2 linked regions of the Caenorhabditis elegans genome follow. The protein of the gene in region 2 purifies or fractionates together with the protein of the main gene of each other region. This does not show direct contact. Each region holds a gene or a part of one and is shown on either strand. Other genes may lie near its edges.

Region 1 (3,423 bases), on a different chromosome or scaffold from region 2:
TCGCTGCTGGTTCATCTTGGCTCGCGGAGCAACTCCATCGATCGCCATATAGAGAAGCTGGAATTTACGGGGGGTTTTTTCTAGCAAAAATCCATGTGGCGGGACCTTTTTCCAGAGTAGATTTTAAAGCTAAAAATGATTATTAACGTTAAGTGTTGAAGTATTCCGCGTCTTTTTGCTTAAAAAATGTTGAATTTTTGAGGTTTTGCTACCTTTCATTGAGTTCTTCACGCGAAAATCGCTATTTTTCACTATTTTCTAGGTAAAACGCTGGTTTCTAGCGCCTGGAAAATGCTCTTTTTGTTCAGGAAATTCATCAGCAGCGACCCTAGGCGACGTGGATCGTGGTTGGGACCCATTTCCACATTTTTTGAGGATTTTCCTTACCCTTCGCGGTCTGACAATCGAATAAATGCGATCGATGTACTCGAAAATGAGCGCGAACATCTCATCTTCGTTCTTCGGAGCCGGCCTGTCTTCTGGATGGGTGCACGGATGGATAATACCGTTCATATCCAGGTATAGATTATCAAACTCCTGGAAATTCGGATTGGGCTGTGTACAATCTACGGGGACCCGGTTGCCATCCTGGTCTCGCTGACGATCTTCATTGGCATTCACCACGGTTGCCGGATACTTTTTAGTCAACCATCTGAAGAATGCGGGAACTCCCATTCTCGGAGTTTTATTTTCTCTAAATTATCAAATTGCTTTTACGGAAGGAGACGAACGGAGAAAAAGTATTAGACGAATGAAGCGAGGTTAAGCTCGAACATGACGGAGGCCCCGTTCGGGGGATTAATATGTATTAAAAAGAAGTAAAAAAAAAACAAAAAGGCGAATGTAGAACACATATTTATATGTGAAAAATTAACAACATTCAAAAGGATAATTATTCCTTAAGATCTCTCAGTCTTCTGATGGTGGATCTGACGGTAGCGGCGGTGACGGTTCCGTAGACGTAGGCTCCTCCGGCGACGACCTTGTGGCACTTGGCACAGTTCCAGATTCCGGTGGCCTTTCGCTTCATGGCCTCCTTTCCGCAGAACGAGCAGGTGTAGCGGGAGTGCTGTGCGACTTCGAGCTTCTTGGCCATCTTACGGAGGGAAGCACCATAACGGGTTCCGTACTTTCCGACGATTCCGACCTTCTTAGTTCTCTTGGCCATTTCGACTGGATTACCTGAAAAAAAGAAATGAGTGGTTTGCAAAAACAGAAGTAATTAATAGACATAATTTTGAGCGACGGAGCATTGAAAAATCGAAAATATAAACCAATAAAGCCAACTGCATTTTTGGAAGCGAGATAGAAGGATTAAGAAAGGTGAAATGTGTTAACGAGGAATAAAGTAATAAACAAGTTAACCGATTCAGCCTAGTGCGAAAGTGTTTCGAAAAAATACGAAATTTCCAGCAGAATTTCTACCAACAATCTAAATTCTATGTAAAGGACATATATTCATACTTCAAAGTTAAGAAATGTAGAAACGGTAAGAAGACGAGAAGAAAAAGTAACATTATTTTTCAACTGACCGCCAAAGCAGCAAAAAAAAGAAGAAAATTAAGGATATTTGAAGTTTTGAAGCCATGAACCAGAATATTCAGATAATTTAGATCGACAGAAGGATCATTTGTAGACTGATAACGCAGTTCGAGTCCTAATTCTTTTTTAAATCGTCAAACAGAAAAGTGGAGAAAATTTCGACAAATAGGCGGTAAATCAAGGGTTCTACTCGCAAATATTCAAAAATAAGCTTACAATTCAACAATTCTGATGGAAAATATTACTTTTATGAAAAAAAAATCGAAAAATTCAGCAGCAAAAAGGAAAAACGTTCGAAAGAGAAATTGAAATCGGAAAAATGTTGGGCCTAAAATCGCGACGCACTACGGTAGATGCAACGCGTGTCTCAATGGAGCGCGCTTGCACGTTGAGTTTTCTAGTCCCCCAACTTTCGCAATTAATTTTTCGAATGGAATTTCTTAATTTTCTCTTTTTCATCGATAATTCTTTACTTTCGCTTAATCTTTCTTCAATTTTCAAATGAATAATTCAAATATAACACTTAAATTAATATATTTCCATCAGATGGCTTCAACGTCGGCGGCAACTCCGCTGAAGAACAAGCGAAAGTTTGAAAATGGGAAAAAGAAGCCAAAAACGCTGAAAGACGAGTTTGGCGAGAAGCTCGACATCAAACCGGTGATAGTTCCTCCAAAGCCTGCAGACGAGTATGATTATGATTCTTCTGACGAGGAGGTTGGCTTATTTTTCATATTTTAGCATAAAATATATAATTTTTTGTTTAAGGATCTGCGAAACACGATTGGAAACATTCCAATTAAATGGTACGATGATGAGGATCACATTGGATATGACAAGTTTGGAGAGAAAATCGCAAAACCCGCGAAGAAAGGAGAAATCGAGACTTTCCTGGAGAAGATGGAAGATCCAGATTACTGGTAATTATGTGGTTAAAATCAATAAAATAAAGTAATTTTATATTAATTTTTTTAATTTTTTTCAGGCGAAAAGTGTTCGACAAGCAAACTGGCACTGATGTGAAGCTTACCGATGAGCAAATCGAAAAAATCCACAATATCGCGACCGGAAAGTACCCAACAATCGGCTACAACCCATACGAGCCGTTCCTCGACATTTTCTCCTCCCAAAAAGAAATCCATCCAATCGATAATCGTCCAGAACCTAAATCCAGATTTATCCCATCTAAAGATGAAATGCGAATGGTGTCCCGTATGGTCCACGCCATCAAAATGGGCTGGGCTAAGGGGCCGCGAGCCAAGAAGGAAGAGCACAAATCCTATGATCTCTGGGCTTCTGAGGATGCTCTTGACAATGTGACAAAGTCCCAGCTCTCCAGAATGCGTGTGCACATGCCGGCTCCGAAGGTGGCTCTGCCGACGCACGCCGAGTCCTATAACCCGCCGGAGGAGTACATTTTCGACGATGAGGAGCGCAAGAAGTGGGAAGAAGCTGAAAAAGAGGATCGTGTGCTCAACTTCATGCCATCCAAGTATGATGCTCTCCGCAAAGTTCCACAATACGACAAATTCATCACCGAGCGATTCGAGCGATGTCTGGACTTGTACCTGGCGCCACGTCAGCGAAAAATGCGAATCCACGCGGATCCGACGGATTTATTGCCGGATTTGCCGAATCCTAATGATCTACGCCCGTTCCCGACTACTCTTGCTTTTGTAAGGGTTTAAAAGTGTTGAATTTTATTATAATTTTCCCTGAAATTGGAAAAAAAACTCAATTTTTGGTCCAGACTGCTGCAAAAATTCATTGCCCGAAAATTTTAGAAAACAACTTTTTTGCAAATTTTTTTTCTGAAAATCATAAAATTTTTCATACAAAAATTGTCAAAAATTCGCTTCCTTTTGCACTAAAATTACCAGA
Region 2 (3,587 bases):
ATAATCACAAAAATTGATAATAAACATACAGTATTGGAAGAAAACAAGAAAAATCGATGGATTTCAGTGCAAATTAATACAGTAATCTTAAAGGCAGATATTCAAAGCTTTTTAAATCAGTTCACCGCTCGTGTCGAGACCATTACTCTTTAAACTCTTCAAAATCGTAGAAGAGGAAAATAATGGAAAATAACTTCGTTCTTCCAAAAGCAAGTGAATGTGCTTTTCAAAATCTGAACATTTCTAAATACAAAGTTTTGGAAGTGTACTTTTTTACAACCATAATTATATTATAACAAACAGTAATTTTCAGTCAGACACCATTTTCATATTTCTCGATGCTGAAAAATTTGCAACAACTTAGGATAATCCCAAAGAACCGATCCAAATGAGAAAAAATACCATGCCCTATAACCGGTTTCAACTGAACCTAAAATGTCGTGATCGACCTTTCGTCGAATGCATGCCCATTCAACGTTGAGCCGATTTGAGTGCTATTTCAACATGAAATTTTTGATTCTGTCCTTTCTTCTCGTATCAATTTGCTCTGGAGGTGGTGGATTCCCGATTCAAATGTTGACAAAATGTGGAATTTCAAAAGAAACCATTGATGGCGTTCAAAGTGTAATCGACGAACATTCGGTATTTTTAAAACGACTTCTTAGATATTGAAAAATTTTTCAGGCAATGATTAAAATTGCTAACTCGAACAAGCGTGCCAAAAAAACCGAAATCGATTCTTTGAAGGCAGATATTGATTTATATTTAGATGAACATGCATCTGACGACGACAAGGTAGGATTTCTAATCTAAATTTTACATATTTATTTTTTCCAGAAAAGATGGATTGAGTGCTTCACAAAGAACAACTCCTAATTGTCTTGATTTTTCACTTTTTTTTTGAATAAAAAATTTTAACGTGTTGATAAGCTGTAACACTTTATATTCATAACAACAACGTAACAAACGTCATTTATGCGTCAGTCTTTTGGACCTTAGCCTTCTTCACTTGGGAGCGGACGATGGCGGCGGCACGACGTTGAGCGAGCTTGTTGAACTTGTTGAATCCGGCGTTCTTGGCCAAGCGACGGACTGAAGCAACTGGGGTCTTGCTCAAGGTGGAGGTGGTGACGGCCTTGGCTGGTCTTCCCTCTGAGAAAAAACAGTGTAAAAAATAAATTTTTAAAAAATCTCTTACTCTCGTTCTTGGTAGATACAACGACTCCCTTGGCGGCGGCGCTGACGTCGATGGCGTGCTTGTTAGCGAGTCCACTGTATTTTGGGCTGTTCACCTTCTTGAGGTTGAACTTCTCAGTGGAGAATCGCTTTCCGATTCCGCGCTGGGTTCTGAGGAAAGCGCTGTTGTTGCGGATGACTTGCCACACGAGAGCGTCGGACATTTTACCTGGAAATAAATTATTTTATGATGAAAGTTAAATACAATAAGATACAACGGGAAACGTAAGAAAAATTCAATAAAATCAATTGTACACGTAGGTTTTCAAGCAAATTTAAGAATACAATTTTACAAAGTCCTAAATGTCATTTTTCCTGCTCAAACTTTTGACTGAAATGCATAAAAATTCGCTGATAAAAACAAGCAGAATACGCCAAAATAGTTGCAAATTATAAAATTTACAGAATTAATACAAAAAATTCGATATTTTACTCAAAAAAATGGAAAAAAAGAAGAAAAATAAATTAAACTTTCGTTGAGCTGGCCTAAAATCTAATAGCAAGCGCGCTCCATTGCCAAACGGTGTAAACGCGGAGCCTCGTTTGCGTGTAGTTTTTATCGTAAATCGACACAACTTCTTTCAAAATAAATTATTTCTTATGAGTAATTTTCTGCATTCTATTGTTGTGTTTCAATTAATCTTATTTTTAATTTGATTTTATTCAAAATTATATAATTTTATTAAGATGCTGGGTTCTTCTCTCCGCATTTTCTCCCCTCGAGCAGTTTCCAGGTTGTCTTTTTCAACAACTTCAGTCGAAAAAGCTGAGAAACTTTGGGAAAATCCATGGAAACATGCTCTCCCTGAAAAGTGTAAGTTATTTATTATCATATAATTTTTCTACTAGCAATTACAGCCAGAAGTCTTGCAACGGTCGAAGAAGCTCCTATCGATTGGTCGTATGTGGAAAGATTGATGCCAATAGAAGTGGTGCCGAATGTTCCTGAGCACGAAAAGTATCCTACACCAAGCGGATGGACACCACCGACAGGTATATACAGATTAAATTCATACCGCATCGAAATATTTCAGAAGCAGCCAAGACACATCAATACTACATTCGACGTCGTCATGACCATCTTCTTCCTCTTTATTTGGAACGAAAAAGGGATTTACTGAATGAGAAAACGTTGGATTTTGATTATGTCGAGCTAGTAACTATCAGAAACGTCGACGGAGACATTTTTGTAAGTTGGGAACATTATTAAATCCTGAATCAACATAAATATCTTTCAGGCTTGCGAAAATGATCTCCGCTCCTATCTTGAAGAACATCTTGGACATTCGATCGCCAGTCACGTCGATGAGTTGAAAGGTCGTATCAAAATTAAAGGAGCTCCACGTGTTCTTATTGAGCAATTCTTCTACAGCAAAGGATTCTAGATGTATTCTTGATATATCTTTTAGTTTTTTATCTAGGCAGATTTGTTTTGTTGTGAATTTATTGTTGGAGAATGAACTAGAAAAATTCAATTGTCTACTTTATCATTTTTACCTTCAAACCGGTTATTTCACCGTCATTTCCTTATTCTCTTCATTTTGTATCATTGCGAAATGCCGAAATTCTTCTCTAGAATGCCTTCCTCAATTTGTTGCACAAACTGCAGAACTAAATATTCATTATTAAACAGAGAAGTTATTTTCTGGCATCAAAAACTAATTAATTTCTATTTTTTCAGGCCGGCTGCTCGAATTGTGCTCTCTCCTTCTGTAAGAAATGTCTGCCTCATCGTGCAATTATTCCCACACTTTCGGATTTACCAATGATTGTCTGTAACAATTGCTATCAAAAATTGGAATCTGCCAAAATGAAGCCCAGCGCGACTGTAAGAAAAAGAACAAAGTAAAAACTAAATAGATATTAATCCCACGATTTTTTTCAGATAACATCAACGCCTCTACCAGATAATTCGAATAAATCGAATAAAAATTGGTGGGGTGATGGACTTCCACCGCCATCATTCAGGAATTCGCACACAAATCAAAATCAGATTAAAAATAGTGAAGTCAAAGCAACTAAATTCAGGAATTCGCCAGAAATTCCATCGCAGCAGACCAAGGTAATTAGCGTCACGGAATTTTCTTAATTTATTTTTCAGTTTTCAGCCAAATTATCCGACCAATGACCTGGAACAGCGAAGACTTAAACTGCGAGAAGATATTTCACCACAAATTGAACCACTCAGTATATCAGAAATTGAAGAACGATTAGCAAAACTTCGAGAATGTGATGTAGAAGTGATACGTAATCCTCAAAGTGTAAGTTGGACAAGGATGTTTTTAATTAAAAATGTGTCTTAAATATAGAAAATTACTTGATTCATCTGAAAATATAATTTTTTCAGTTGA

The links. Proteins that work in one complex are often made in the same cells at the same time.
Region 1: the proteins of rpl-28 (region 2) and rpl-37A fractionate together in Caenorhabditis elegans (co-fractionation; one large-scale study listed by BioGRID). This does not show direct contact.

Annotation. Positions count from the first base shown.
Region 1 is NC_003280.10:14,153,039-14,156,461, reverse strand, and holds rpl-37A (Large ribosomal subunit protein eL43), read right to left. Parts: upstream 1,169-3,423; coding exon 893-1,168; downstream 1-892. Other genes in the region: xrn-2 (5'-3' exoribonuclease 2 homolog), read right to left, coding at 1-57, 388-675; bop-1 (Ribosome biogenesis protein BOP1 homolog), read left to right, coding at 2,089-2,259, 2,311-2,462, 2,528-3,218.
Region 2 is NC_003283.11:12,726,708-12,730,294, forward strand, and holds rpl-28 (Large ribosomal subunit protein eL28), read right to left. Parts: upstream 1,406-3,587; 5' UTR 1,401-1,405; coding exon 1,199-1,400; intron 1,153-1,198; coding exon 974-1,152; 3' UTR 928-973; downstream 1-927. Other genes in the region: R11D1.13 (DUF148 domain-containing protein), read left to right, coding at 505-642, 685-795, 838-876; mrpl-49 (Large ribosomal subunit protein mL49), read left to right, coding at 1,924-2,050, 2,095-2,229, 2,271-2,425, 2,475-2,621; zfyv-19 (FYVE-type domain-containing protein), read left to right, coding at 2,814-2,873, 2,918-3,064, 3,122-3,298, 3,345-3,497.